Pelodiscus sinensis: one gene and its partner. The protein of the gene in region 2 interacts with the protein of the main gene of each other region in a pairwise test. Links are inferred from orthologs where the notes say so. Each region holds a gene or a part of one and is shown on either strand. Other genes may lie near its edges.

Region 1 (7,330 bases), on a different chromosome or scaffold from region 2:
AGCAATCACCTGCTGGCTGCCTCCCTAGCGCAGGGCCTGGCGCTCTCGGGTAAACATGTCCCTGGCTCCCAGCCTGCAGGAGGGGTGCTGAGGCTTGAGGCTGACAAACAGGGCTCCGGCCGGGGCAGCTGGCAGCGCACACAGGCAGCTCTCCCCAAGCCCCGCGCAGCCTCTCCTCCCCCACACACACGTGAGCAGAGCAGCGGGACTAGCTTTGCAATGGGATGCTGCCACCGCTCAGGCCGGGCCTGGGCAGTGTGTACAGACTGAGCCCAGCTGGGCCTCGCTTTGCAATGGGACACAGGCCCCACTCTGGCCGTGCCTGGGCAGTGTGTACAGACTGAGCCCAGCTGAGCCCAGCTTTGCAATGGGATGCTGCCCCCACTCAGGCCGGGCCTGGGCAATGTGTACAGACTGAGCCCAGCTGGGCCTAGCTTTGCAATGGGACGCAGGCCCCACTCAGGCCGGGCCTGGGCAGTGTGTACAGACTGAGCCCAGCTGGGCCTAGCTTTGCAATGGGACACAGGCCCCACTCAGGCCGTGCCTGGGCAGTGTGTACAGACTGAGCCCAGCTGAGCCCAGCTTTGCAATGGGATGCTGCCCCCACTCAGGCCGGGCCTGGGCAATGTGTACAGACTGAGCCCAGCTGGGCCTAGCTTTGCAATGGGACACAGGCCCCACTCAGGCCGGGCCTGGGCAGTGTGTACAGACTGAGCCCAGCTGGGCCTAGCTTTGCAATGGGACGCAGGCCCCACTCTGGCCGTGCCTGGGCAGTGTGTACAGACTGAGCCCAGCTGGGCCTAGCTTTGCAATGGGACGCTGTCCCCGCTCAGGCCGGGCCTGGGCAGTGTGTACAGACTGAGCCCAGCTGGGCCTAGCTTTGCAATGGGACACAGGCCCCACTCAGGCCGTGCCTGGGCAGTGTGTACAGACTGAGCCCAGCTGGGCCTAGCTTTGCAATGGGATGCTGCCCCCACTCAGGCCGGGCCTGGGCAGTGTGTACAGACTGAGCCCAGCTGGGCCTAGCTTTGCAATGGGACACAGGCCCCACTCTGGCCGTGCCTGGGCAGTGTGTACAGACTGAGCCCGGCTGGGCCTAGCTTTGCAATGGGACGCTGCCCCCGCTCAGGCCGTGCCTGGGCAGTGTGTACAGACTGAGCCCAGCTGGGCCTAGCTTTGCAATGGGACACAGGCCCCACTCTGGCCGGGCCTGGGCAGTGTGTACAGACTGAGCCCAGCTGGGCCTAGCTTTGCAATGGGACACAGGCCCCACTCTGGCCGTGCCTGGGCAGTGTGTACAGACTGAGCCCAGCTGGGCCTAGCTTTGCAATGGGACACAGGCCCCACTCTGGCCGTGCCTGGGCAGTGTGTACAGACTGAGCCCAGCTGGGCCTAGCTTTGCAATGGGACGCTGCCCCCGCTCAGGCCGGGCCTGGGCAGTGTGTACAGACTGAGCCCAGCTGGGCCTAGCTTTGCAATGGGACGCAGGCCCCACTCAGGCCGGGCCTGGGCAGTGTGTACAGACTGAGCCCAGCTGGGCCTAGCTTTGCAATGGGACACAGGCCCCACTCAGGCCGGGCCTGGGCAGTGTGTACAGACTGAGCCCAGCTGGGCCTAGCTTTGCAATGGGACGCTGTCCCCGCTCAGGCCGTGCCTGGGCAGTGTGTACAGACTGAGCCCAGCTGGGCCTAGCTTTGCAATGGGACGCTGCCCCTGCTCAGGCTGGGCCTGGGCAGTGTGTACAGACTGAGCCCAGCTGGGCCTAGCTTTGCAATGGGACGTGGGCCCCACTCAGGCCGGGCCTGGGCAGTGTGTACAGACTGAGCCCAGCTGGGCCTAGCTTTGCAATGGGACACAGGCCCCACTCAGGCCGGGCCTGGGCAGTGTGTACAGACTGAGCCCAGCTGGTCCTAGCTTTGCAATGGGACGCTGTCCCCGCTCAGGCCGTGCCTGGGCAGTGTGTACAGACTGAGCCCAGCTGGGCCTAGCTTTGCAATGGGACGCTGCCCCTGCTCAGGCTGGGCCTGGGCAGTGTGTACAGAGTGAGCCCAGCTGGGCCTAGCTTTGCAATGGGACGTGGGCCCCACTCAGGCCGGGCCTGGGCAGTGTGTACAGACTGAGCCCAGCTGGGCCTAGCTTTGCAATGGGACACAGGCCCCACTCAGGCCGGGCCTGGGCAGTGTGTACAGACTGAGCCCAGCTGGGCCTAGCTTTGCAATGGGACGCAGGCCCCACTCTGGCCGTGCCTGGGCAGTGTGTACAGACTGAGCCCAGCTGGGCCTAGCTTTGCAATGGGACGCTGCCCCCGCTCAGGCCGGGCCTGGGCAGTGTGTACAGACTGAGTCCAGCTGGGCCTAGCTTTGCAATGGGACACAGGCCCCCCCCACTCAGGCCGTGCCTGGGCAGTGTGTACAGACTGAGCCCAGCTGGGCCTAGCTTTGCAATGGGACGCTGTCCCCGCTCAGGCCGGGCCTGGGCAGTGTGTACAGACTGAGCCCAGCTGGGCCTAGCTTTGCAATGGGATGCTGCCCCCGCTCAGGCCGGGCCTGGGCAGTGTGTACAGACTGAGCCCAGCTGGGCCTAGCTTTGCAGTGGGACACAGGCCCCACTCAGGCCGGGCCTGGGCAGTGTGTACAGACTGAGCCCAGCTTTGCAATGGGACGCTGTCCCCGCTCAGGCCGGGCCTGGGCAGTGTGTACAGACTGAGCCCAGCTGGGCCTAGCTTTGCAATGGGACGCTGCCCCCGCTCAGGCCGGGCCTGGGCAGTGTGTACAGACTGAGCCCAGCTGGGCCTAGCTTTGCAATGGGACACAGGCCCCACTCAGGCCGGGCCTGGGCAGTGTGTACAGACTGAGCCCAGCTGGGCCTAGCTTTGCAATGGGACGCAGGCCCCACTCTGGCCGTGCCTGGGCAGTGTGTACAGACTGAGCCCAGCTGGGCCTAGCTTTGCAATGGGACGTGGGCCCCACTCAGGCCGGGCCTGGGCAGTGTGTACAGACTGAGCCCAGCTGGGCCTAGCTTTGCAATGGGACGCAGGCCCCACTCTGGCCGTGCCTGGGCAATGTGTACAGACTGAGCCCAGCTGGGCCTAGCTTTGCAATGGGACGCTGTCCCCGCTCAGGCCGGGCCTGGGCAGTGTGTACAGACTGAGTCCAGGTGGACCCTGGAGCCCATGTGCTTTGCTCCTTGCCCCCTGGCTGGGAGTTATCAGCCGCCAGGAGGAAGAGCCATTTTTGTGTTAATTAGTAATGACAGGACCTGATGAAAGGAATTCTGGGAGCAGAATACACAGAGCCCTGTGTAGCCAGTGAACGCCGAGTGCAGAGAAAGTGAGCGGGGGGGAAGGGGGTTCACACTCACTGGCCCTCTGGCTTCAGCCCCCTCACCACTCTAGGGTGCTGCCGGAGGGGGTGCCCCCCCCAAAAGTAAAATGGGCTCGGGTCAGGTGCTCCCAAATCATGAGAGAGGCTCAGACATCACCAACGCGTAGTTCCAGCCATTTGCCGTCTGACCTGGGGGGTCACTTGGGTCCCAGTTTGAAACCTGCCCAGCGCGCTAGACAGTTCCTGGCTCCGAAAGGGAAGCGGCGAGTCTCACAAAGCCTTCCCCCGGAGCTGGGTCTCATAGTGGCCACACACACGTCGGTAACACCGGTGGGAACTGAGGCGAACGTTTGACCGTCCCTGGGCTGGGATAGTTCCGTCGGGTTGGGCGGTTGGGTGGTGCATGGTGCTGGGTGGGGCTGGCGGCCTGTGGCGCACAGGTCAGACGGGTGGGCTGGTGCTCCTTTGGGGCCTTCAAAGTCTGGAACAACTCTCGCCTCCCGCCCAGCTGGGAGCCAAGGCAGAGGCTCGCTAGCAGCTCCTTTTTGTGGGGCGGCAGCTGTTTGGAAGAAGGCTCCAAGGGCCATGCCAAGCAGCAGGTTTCAAGCCTGGTTCGAGCTGGCACGATTGAAGCTGCCAGCAGCTTTGTGCACAGAGCTTGTGTTAGTCCATGCCTAGCACACACCGGCAGAGCCAAACCTGGGCCTCCAGCAACTTCCCACTTGAGCTACAAGCCAGCTGAGGCTCAGGGGAGGCTGCAAAGCAGACTCAGTCTCTCGCTCTGTACGTGGGCTAGGTGCCACGGCAAGAGACAGCACACCCAGACGATGTGGGTTACACCAGCTATAGACAGGCCCCCAGAGCAGGGTCCCAGAAGGCCTCCAGTGGGGGAGGGGGAAGCTGGGGGGTCAGTCACCTCTTGCTCTGTTGATCTCTGACCTTCTGTTTGTTTTCTCCCTGCACTGGGGCAGGCTGAGCAAACAGTGAGTTCCTGGGACGGGAGGCTGCAGAGCCTCAGCCTGCCCAAGCAGCCAGACCAGGTCAGCTCTCCCCGCCGTGCACCATGAGGCTGCTGGTCCCAGCACTGCTGCTGGGTTTGCTCCGTGGGGCTTTGGCAGCTGAAGGTGAGTCTCTGCTCATCCCGCTGCTGGACGCCCTGCTGGATGCTTCAGTTCAGGGTGTCCCTAACTCCCACTTGCAGCTAGCGTAGGGAGACAGTGGCTAGATCTGCTGGGCTTTGGGGGGCAAGGGGCCCGGGAGAAAGCAGCAGGTGAGTTCCCTGCTGGGGTTCTGGCTGCGGTGGCTCGGCAGAATCTCTCCAGTAGCAGCCGGCTGCTGCCCCCACAGACCTGCATTGGTCACCCATCACAGGCCCTGGGGGAGGGGGTGCTAGCAGTCAGCCCCCCTCATCTTCAGAGAAGCACACTGACGAGCGGGGAGGCCGAGGGGCTGGGCGCCTGGGCGAGGGCTGAAAACGGCCCTGGCCTCTTTGCACCAGCATGCAGCCAGCACTAGCAGTCGGGGCTGCTGGCGCCTTGGCTCATTTCTGGTGTGGAGGGGTCGCTGTGCTCACTGCCCTTTCAGAGTCATGCGTCGGCCACTGCGAGGACGGCTTCGATGCCCAGAGGAAGTGCCAGTGCGACGCCCTCTGCACCTACTACCAGAGCTGCTGCAGTGACTATGTCAGCGCCTGCAAGCCAAAAGGTACCTGTCCCCTGCAGACCCCCAGGCCTAGCCCCCACCCCGCACCAGGGAACAGGCACAAGCAAGGTTCCCTGTGAGCTGGCACTAGGGCGGCAGCCCCGGAGAGATACAGGTGCTGCCCAGCTGATTTGCAGCACATCCACAGTGCACACAGCTGGCAGCAGCTGTTTCTACTGTTGGTGCACATCGTCAGGTGCCTTGGTGCACATAAAATGTATTCCGCACATGGGGAGAAAACATTAGAGGGAAAATTGGACACAAGTCAAGCCCTGTTGCCTGGCTGGTAGCAGAAAGGTGCCGGACTGGGTACAGGGTTTGGGGGAGTCACCAGGCCCTGCATCCCCATCCGCAGCCAGACGTGACACTCAGCCGGCAAGCAGAACAGAAGGGTTATTGGGTCCCAGGGACACAGCGAAACACAGGATCGATGTTAACACAGAGACCCAGAGCAGGCGGCCTTATTCCTCTTGGGGGAAAGGGGTCCCGGGCCCTTGCTCCCCCTTTCCTGCCCTAAGCCCCGTCTCAGATCCTAGCCCCACCAAGACTGCCCCTTCCCCCAGGCCCTCGTCCCCAGCCTGGTGTCAGCCCAGCCTACCCTTTGTCTCCCTTCCTGGGCAGAAATTGTTATCTCCCCTGCCTAACCCTCTGGTTTTAGAGGTGTAATACACTTCTACAGTGAGTCACCCCCTCCTCCAGACAGTGCTGCCCTGCCCAGAACAGCAGGAACCACACAAAGCAACACGGCAACATGATCCCCGCTACACGATCCCCCCTACGCCCTGTCTCAGAGACACGAGCCCCGCTACATGACCCCCGCTACGCCCTGTCTCAGAGACACGATCCCCGCTAAGTCCCGTCTCAGCCACACGATCCCTGCTACGTCCCGTCTCAGCCACACGATCCCCGCTACACGATCCCCGCTACACGATCCCCGCTACGCCCTGTCTCTGCCACACGATCCCCGCTACGCCCTGTCTCAGAGACACGATCCCCGCTACGCCCTGTCTCAGAGACACGATCCCCGCTACTCCGTCTCTGCCACACGATCCCGCTACGCCCTGTCTCTGCCACACAATCCCCGCTATGTCCCAGCTGAGAGACACGATCTCCGCTGCATCCCATCTCAGCAACACGATCCCAGCTATGTCCCATCTCTGCCGCACGATCCCCGCTATGCCACGTCTCTGCCACACGATCTCTGCTACACCCTGTCTCTGGCAGACGATCCTCACTATGTCCCATCTCTGCCACACGTTCCCCGCTACGTCCTGTTCCCCGCTACGCCCCATCTCTGCCACACGATCCCCGCTGTGAGGACGTGCCTGGGGTCAGCGAGTGCCGGTTCTTCAGGGTCTGGCCAGCGTCGCACGTGCGGCAGCCGTTTGCTGAGCTCCCTTCACTAAGGGGCCCTTGCGAGTTCCAAAGGGCAGAAGGGCCCCGGAGCCGAGCCTGATTCAGAGGATGGGGGACGTACGAAGGACCCTTCATCCCACGCTGAATGGGAGCAGTCTCCCGGCAGGGCTGGTCCCCAGCCAGGCAGTGCCCGGCACAGGGGCAGGCTGCAGCACCCCCAGGGCCCTGACCCTCTCTTGCCCTGCACAGTGACCCGCGGGGACATGTTCGCGTTTCCCGAGGACGACTACGTGGACTACGCCACCAACACTTCCTGGAGCGAAACCACAGAGACTGGGCCCACAGCCACAGCCCCAGAGCTAGTCAGTGTGGCCACCACGGATTCGGTCACGGTGCCTGACAGCGATGCCCCTCTGCTGGTCCCCAGCGTGCTGGGGGAGCAGGAGGAGGTGGTGGAGGAGGTGCTGTGTAGCGGGCAGCCCTTCGATGCATTCACCGACCTGAAGAACGGTTCTCTCTACGCGTTCCGAGGTAGCAGCTGGCGAGGGCTGCCCATGGGCACTGGGGGGGTGGGGAGGCTGGGTCAGAGCATGGCCCAGGGCTGCATCCATCTCAGGTCGCTGCTCGGCCAGATTCTGGGAGGCAGGTGGGTCTCAGCCCAGTTCGCAGGGGTCCCCGCCATCACAGCTGACACCAGCTGGGCCTTTGACAGCCAGGACTGATTGGCCTTGGAGCCTGAGTGCCCCACACAGGCAGACCCATGCCTGGGTCATGTGCTTTGCTGTGGCTGTCGTGGGCACGATGAGGCCAGGTTTGGAGTGGAGCCCCTGCCGCTAGCCCCTTTCACACTGCAGACAGGGCAGGGAGAGGCAGCTGGACCCAAAGCAGAGGGAAGGGGGTTCGGTGGTGCTGGGGGGGGTTGTGTGGGCACTACCGCCCCCCCTCCCCCG
Region 2 (7,611 bases):
GCAGGGCTGTGAAGACTGGGGGAAAAGCTGTTAACAAATAAAGAAAGAAAGAAACAAACAAAGCAGCTGTGGGACAGTGTCTGCATGGTGGGGTTTTTTTTTCTTTCTCTCAACAACTTTGCCCTGGCTCTTCATGCTGTCTCCACTACTATTGTGGCTCTTCGTCTGGAATGGGTTGGCCATCCCTGCTCTATATCTTAAATCTCAGTTCTGAAAATAGTTGCAATACATACCTTTACTTCTGGCCACCAACAGATGGTAGCACATGAATATCAAAGTCTGGGACTGGATTTTCAGTCCTTCCACAAACAAAATTCTCCCTTTTGAATCAGAACCTAATCATGGAGTATGCACTCTGTAGAATATCTCCCTCCTGAGATCAAGTTTTTGTTTGAATATGGATTGCAGAATTAGGTGTTTGAACTGGCTGGTTCTTGGCAATTGGTAATTACCAGACAGTAATGATATTGTAACAATACTAAGCATTTGCTCTTCTTCAGCACATTTATCCAAGGTTCTCAAGGTACGACAAACATTAATTCCTCCTGTGAGGTAACCAGATTTTACAGATGTGGAAACTGATACACAAAACAGACATAACTGCCAAGTCTTGTGCAATTCAATGTGTGACATTGTATGCAACTTACAGATGTAGTATAGCTCATTAATTAAGTTATACATATAATACACATATGACCATGACTGTGGCTTCTGAAGTCAATGAACTCTTCCCCAAACAGTGGTAGGGACAGAACATGGAGCTGCACAAAATTTGTCAGCTGTGACAGATGAGTGCATGCTGAAGGGTTTCAGGGAAGGTGGGAAGTGCTGTGTGGGGAGAAAGCCAGGTTTGTGTAGAAGATGGAGGTGTCTGGAGACTGTGGCAGATTGGTGATAGTGGGGTCAATATGAGAGGTATATAAGGGAAGCTAGATTTGTCAAGGTTTCAGGTGTGGCTGGATAGTTTAGGGGGGATTGGAGGCTAGGGCCAGCTAGTTTTCTGGAGCTGGGGTTACTTGGTGGAGGAGTGATCTGCAGAAAGCTGGAGAAGGTCAGGAGGAAAAGACAGGGCCAGTTGGAGTTCCCAGGGTGGGAAGACCAGAGGGGACTGACTGGATTCAAATACCAAAGGAAAGAAGGGAGGGCTGGGATCCTTTGTGCCCCCTGCTGCTCTTTTCCTGCATAGGAAGGCCCTGCAGCAAGCTCCGCCACCAACATCCCACAAGCATGAGGCTGAGCTGCAGGCACACAGCAGCCTGACCACTGCAGGGCCAGATGGTGCAGGTCAGAGATGCTGCTCCTGGGAGCACCTCCTGGCCTCTGACCAACACCAACAGCTCTGGGCTGGTGTAGAGTGAGAAGCAGCTGAGCTTCAAAAGTCAATACCTAGGGTGTTGAGCACCTGCACTGGAACTGAGCATGCTCAGTAAGAGCTACTGTCCTCACTCTGCCCTTACATGGATTCAGATGCTGCTCCAGGCTTTTTACAATCATTAAAAGGGGGGTTAGGAGGCAATTGCAGTGGGGGATGGGCAGGGCAGGGCACAGAAATTAACCAGCCTCGGGAGTCAATTAACTTTAGTGTGAGGCAGAACAGGGGCTGGAAGGGAAAAATCGGGTGTGGGGGGGTGATTGGAGCTGGTGGAGGGGGAGATGCTGATAGGCCCTGTGCTGGGATTTTGCCCCCACACAGGGAGGGACAAAGGGGGTAACATTTACCTAAGGGGATGAGCCATCTGCCGCGTGTGCAAAGGCAGGGATGGGGGGGCACGAAGGGAAGCAGAGAGGGGTTTTATTTCCCCTCTCAGGGAGAAATGTACCAGTGCTGGAGCACAGGGCAGCTTCCTGATTGTGCTATTAAAGGTACAGCTGCCCTAATGCCTTGGCTTTCCTGGCTATCCTCCACAGCGCCTCTCTCTCTGCACTGCTACAGCACAGAAGATAGAATGCTGCAAACATTCCACATGCAGCATGTGAGGGAGTAACACATTTTGAGGATTTAAAAGTCTCCCATCAGTTTATACATGAAGTCTTTTAACAGTTCACAAATTTGTCTTATCTCTCGCTGTGATTCCCTGAATTACACACCCATCCTTGTAACCCATTTTAATGGTGGTTTTGCTCCTTTACAAATGTTCTCTCTTACTAGGGGGCTGCATCTCCTGCTCATTATGCTTGTCAACTCCCCCTGTCTGGGGGTAGGTGTCTGGCCAGGGGGGCAGGGTGCAAGAGGAGAGGAGGGTGCAGGAGCAGGCTGGGAATTCAGGGTCTCGTAGAAGAGGTGAGGGGCTCAGAGTGCGGGATGTTGGCTTGAGGGACAATGAGTGAGGGGGCTGGAGGTGCGGGGTCTTGTCTTGGAGGAGGTGGGGGCCACTTACTTGCTTCACACAGCTCCCAACACCATAGCTCAGGCATCATCTACCACTGCTTTTTAAAATCTTGCTAATTTGTTTTGCACTAATCACTCGAGTTAACTGCGAGAACTTTAATTTCCATGCCATTCTATAAGTTGAGAAGTTTCAGAGGGGTAGCCGTGTTAGTCTGTAACAAGACAAACTTAAAAAACAACAAATAGTCTGGTAACACTTTAAAGACTAACAAAACATGTAGATGGTATCATGAGCTTTCATAGGCACAGCCTACTTGAGAGTTTGCCCTCACCTGCAGTGTTGGCTGGGTTCACTTTTAGTCACTCAACCTCCAAAAAGATGTAGCAGACATGGAGAGATCTGCAAGCCACACAAAATCATTAGAGACCCGGAAAGGTTATGTGTGAAGAAAGAATGAACAGACTGGGACTGCATCATGCTGCCAGCAGACAGCCCTCAGGGGCATGCCAGTGTACACATACCAATGAATAAGTGGGCACACATTGGGGGCTTGAATGGTGGAGGGAATATGGCCCCAGAAGCTCCTCCCTGTGGTGCATCTGGCCTGCCTGGCAGGGGGAGGATGCGGCTCTGGGAACAGCAGCGCAGGAAAGCTCTATCCTTATTGTAACAGAGTCCAGGGACTGCCTCCAGGGTCCGACCCGTGCCGTATTCCCCGCTCTGTCCCTTCTATGCTTCTTTTCCCTGTATGGCCTCCCTTCCCCCAATGTCTATGTCCCAGAGTTCCGGTTGTACCCGTCACTCAATGTCTGAGCGGGGCTCTCCTCCTGGGTTCCGGTCTCTCTGCTCTGCTCTGGACAGGGCTGGGCACTCTGGGTTGGGGTCCTCTCGGCTCACCCACATCCCTCCGGTGACCTGCTGGGGAAAACACAACCAGCCTCCACTCCGCTCCTTCTGGCTCTCCCGCTCTCCCTCTCCTCCAGGTCCCAAGCCCCATCAGTTCTGGGCGCGTGGCCGCGCATGCACGGCAGACCCAGCACGACTCGGAGCCCGCTCCTCAGAGTGCCGGAGCGGCGCTGCTCTTAGTGCGGGGGCTCAAGCCCCTGTCACACCTATGTTCACTTGCAGGCTACACCCCAGGCACACCCATTGACCAGGAATTGCGGCCAGTGGGAGCATGGGGGGGCAGTTGCCTGCAAGCGGGGAGCCATGTAGAGCCACCTGCATCCCCCTTCCCTGAGCTGTGCTAGATAGTTGCCCCCACCTACCCAGAACATGCACCTTTATCCCCCTCTCCCACTCCTCACCCCTCCCAGACCCTGCACTCCCACCCCACGCCTATACCCCAGATCTCGCCCCTCTCCTACACTCCCAGACCCTGCAACCTCAGCCCACTACAGCACTCTACATTCTGCCTGCACTCCACACCAACTTATTGTTGGCCCCACCTCAGAACCGAAGGGAGACCCACAAAATCTACAAGCCCCAGGTTCCCAGAATAGTTAATCCAGCCCTGGTGGGAAGCACTGAGCCTTGGCCCCTCCTCCCACTTGTCAAGCATGAGTGAAGTGAAGCAAAATGAGGCTACATCTACACTGCAACGTATCCCACAATAGCTATCCTGCGTCTCCACAGCAAGCCCATTATTTTGGGTTTGCTATTCCGATAACCCTGTAAATCTCATTCTACGAGGAGTAAGGGACAGTTTGGAATAGCACTTGATTTTGAAATTTGGTGCTGATGACAAAATATGCTATTTTGAAATAGCATTGAAATAAGATACTCTATTTGAGTGTCTCCCTGTCTCTCTTTCCCCCTCTGCTTCTGAAGAGAGGAAGGGCAGCTGCCCCAGGGCCCAGTGATTTAAAAGAGCCCTGGGCCCTGCAAATCACTGCTAGTGCCCTGGGTGGCATGGGATGGGCTAGCTGGGGGCACAAACCCACAGTCCTACTCCTTCTGCCAGAGGCTCTGTACCAGTGATGGGTGCACAGGTGGTAAAGGCTGAACCCCCAGCCAACTGTCTGGCTTTGCTGCCCCCGGACCAGTGAGACGTGCATGGGTAGCAGAAACTGAGATGAGCCAAATCTGACCACTAGTGCGCCAATAGCTGCTACGGGAGCAGATCTGGAGACTGGGGAAGGGAGGGGAGGGCGAAGCGCCCCCTGGCGACGGCTCTGCAGCGCGCAGGGAACTGCAACAGCCCAGACCCGTCCCGCCTCCCGGGCCGCTGCAGCAGGCGGCGCCTGCGCAAAGTGTGAGTTGTCACATTTGGCGCTGGGATCGATGGCGTGGCGTTCGGCCAGGCTCCCTGAGGTGCGGTCTCAGTTGTGGCAGGCAGCACAAGTCAATCGACGAGCCCCGTCCGGCGACAGAGCGCCGCTTCGCAACCAGACTCTGTCAGCATTCCAGCGCATGCGCCGTGGGGTCGTGGTGCTCCTCTCACCAGAGCCAAGCGGAGGCTAGTGCCGCCGCATCCTGCGGGCGTTGAGGCGGGCGCGCGCAGGTGTGTGAAAGTGAGAGCGAGAGCCGCGCGGGCGTTGAGGCGGAGGGGCGCGCGCCCAGCGGGTGCCTCGCAAGGCCGCGAGGGGCGTCAACATGTCCGGCGTGGGGGCCGCTTCCTGCGCCTCGGGCTCCGGGGCCTGTGCCGGAGGGGCCGCCGCCGCCGTCTCCTCCCCGGGCGGGGGGGTGTCGATGTTCCGCTGGCTGGAGGTGCTGGAGAAGGAGTTCGATAAGGCCTTCGTGGACGTGGACCTGCTGCTGGGGGAGATCGACCCCGACCAGGCGGACATCACCTACGAGGGGCGGCAGAAAATGACCAGCCTCAGCTCCTGCTTCGCCCAGCTCTGCCACAAGGCGCAGACCGTGTCCCAGATCAACCACAAGCTGGAGGTGAGGGCGGGGGGGGGGACCTGAAAGTGGCCAGACGGGGGAGGAGGTTTGAAGGGGCACGCGGGGGGTGGGGCTGGGTAGCCGAGTGCTGAGTTATTGGGGGAACTGGGAAGCAAAGGGCTTGACCGACGCGGGGTGGGGATTTTCCCCAGTGCCCTGATTGCTGCCTTAGTCTCCCATGGGGCAGGCTGGGATTCAGGGTGTCTGTTCTGTCCACTGTCTTCTCTGCACTTGGCTCTAGCTAGCTGGGGCACCTTTTCCTCTCCTCAGTCATAGCTTGGCTTCCCATGGCAGCTATGGGCCGGACTAATGAATGACCAGTACAAAAACACACAACTTCTTAATTAGAATATTTTTTCACAAATCAAAACATCACCTAATCAGATGATCAAGTTAAAAAATCCATAACCAAGAAAGCACTCTTACCTAGTGAAAGAAGCAGGGAAGAGCATGCTTTAAAAATTCTCTGAACTCAGATATGGTGATGTGCAGTGTAAGAACCTGGTTGGGTTGTTAGGTCACCAACTGTGGTTCTCTCATTGCTCTATGATTCAGAAGTAACTAAAATTGCCATTTATATAGTCACCCCGAGCTATTAAACTAGCTAGAGCTGGTCTGTTGCAGAAATAGCTGACTGTAGGAAGAAAACATTTTGCCCATGATTTTAATCCCACTTCTTCTGGGTAGCAAGACATGGGTCTGCAAAATGTCTTTTGAGTATTAGTAATGCAGTAGCTAAGATTAGAGAATATTTAAAAGTAGAGTACAAGTTCAGTAGATCATCTCTGAGGGGTATCAGTGTTAGCATGGGGTGTTGGTGAAGGCAGGGCTGGGGGAGACAAGCTCCCATCCTCACATCGAGCCCCACCCCTTCTGCTGAGGCCCCATTTGTGCTCCCCCCTCCCAATCAGGGGGAGGGAAGGGCAGGAATGCGCTCACCCCAGCCTTTCCAGCCCCAGGCAGGAGACCGAGTACACGGTATGGCCCTGGCTTCACCAGCTCCGGAGGCGAGCGTGCCATGCAGCCCAGCCCAACCTCACCTCTCCAGCCCTGGAGCACCAGAAGAAGAAGGAGGGCGTAGGGTATGTGGCATGGCTCCAGCCTCGCCAGCCATGGCACACTGGGGAAAGGAGGAGGGCATGGTTGCTCAACTATTCGATAGTCTCTGGGGGCGGGGCTGGCAGCCAGGCACTCCCTGCCATCTTGTGCTGCTGCCTCTGATTGAGAGGCAACAGGGCAGTGTGGCATCAGCCCCTGTCCATGTGGTGCCTGAGCTCGCCGCAGACAGGGGCTGCTGCTTTGGAGCAGCTTCTGTCCACGGTGAGCCCAGACCCGCAGTAAGAGGCAGTGGAGGAGTGGACAGGCTGGTCCACAGAGCCAGCACACTCAGAGAGCTGGCTGCTTCCTGCCTTTCATGCTGCTGCCTCTCTATCAGGTTGAGGGGCAGTTGGATCCAGTGACCGTGGGGAGTCAGCTTAAAGCTGTCTACCTACAGGCACCGGCTCCTCCCTTCCGCCCTTTCCCCCGTTGGTGCCTCTGATACACATACCTCTGGTGCCACGTTCTACATTGACATCCCTAATAGAATCATGAGCTTTTTTGGGCAAAACCCACTTCATTGGATGAACTCTTCAATCAAGAGCTATGTATAGCAACAGACGTACCTGTCAGTTGTTAATGGCAGGAGAAATTGGCTTTGTAATATGCCAACTAGTTATGTCTTTGTTTTGTGTAAGTCCAGAGTAATTGTATCAAATCTGTAGATAAATTCCAGTTTTGCAGACTCTCTTTGTAATTGGTTAGTGATAATCCTTTGTAGAAAAATGGCTACTTTTAAATCCATAATTGAGTGACCAGGCAGGTTAAAATGTTCCCCTACAGGTTTATGTGTGTTACCATTTCTGATGTGTGTCCATTTATTCTCATTTGGCTACTATAGATGGCAATGGGACACTTGATGGCATATATCACTTTAGAAGATGTGCAGTTGTATGAGCCTCTGATGTTGTGGCTTATGTGGTTAGGTCCTATAATGCTGTTGCTTGAATAGATATGGGGATGGAGTTGGCAACGGGGTTTGTTGCAGGGGTAGGTTCCCAGGTGAGTGTATCTGAGGTGTGATGTGTAGATGCCGTAAAGGATTTGCTTCAGGTTGGGGGGGTTGTCTGTAGGTAAGGATTGTCCTCTCTCCCACGGCCTGTTAGTTTATAGTGAACAAAGTTGACTTCCTTATAGTTCATGGAAGTTCTTTCCAGACTGCTGTTTGTTGTATTATGTGTATGCGTGTTGCTGTACATTAGATAAGGCAAGTCTCCTGCTTGATAAATCTAATGCATATAGCCACAATATAGTGGTGCCATAGACTAAATCAGCATGGATAGCATGTTCTGGA

Evidence for each region.
Region 1: the proteins of GOPC (region 2) and VTN interact in binary tests that used the Homo sapiens proteins (3 or more experiments, as listed by UniProt). The two-hybrid records come from large-scale screens. The link is inferred for Pelodiscus sinensis from reciprocal best matches to the Homo sapiens genes GOPC and VTN.

What each region holds. Positions count from the first base shown.
Region 1 is NC_134731.1:378,144-385,473, forward strand, and holds the start of VTN (vitronectin), read left to right. Parts: upstream 1-4,319; 5' UTR 4,320-4,386; coding exon 4,387-4,447; intron 4,448-4,880; coding exon 4,881-5,027; intron 5,028-6,629; coding exon 6,630-6,911; intron 6,912-7,330. UniProt on the Homo sapiens protein: Vitronectin is a cell adhesion and spreading factor found in serum and tissues. Vitronectin interact with glycosaminoglycans and proteoglycans. Is recognized by certain members of the integrin family and serves as a cell-to-substrate adhesion molecule.
Region 2 is NC_134713.1:84,050,393-84,058,003, reverse strand, and holds the start of GOPC (Golgi-associated PDZ and coiled-coil motif-containing protein), read left to right. Parts: upstream 1-4,598; 5' UTR 4,599-4,925; coding exon 4,926-5,219; intron 5,220-7,611.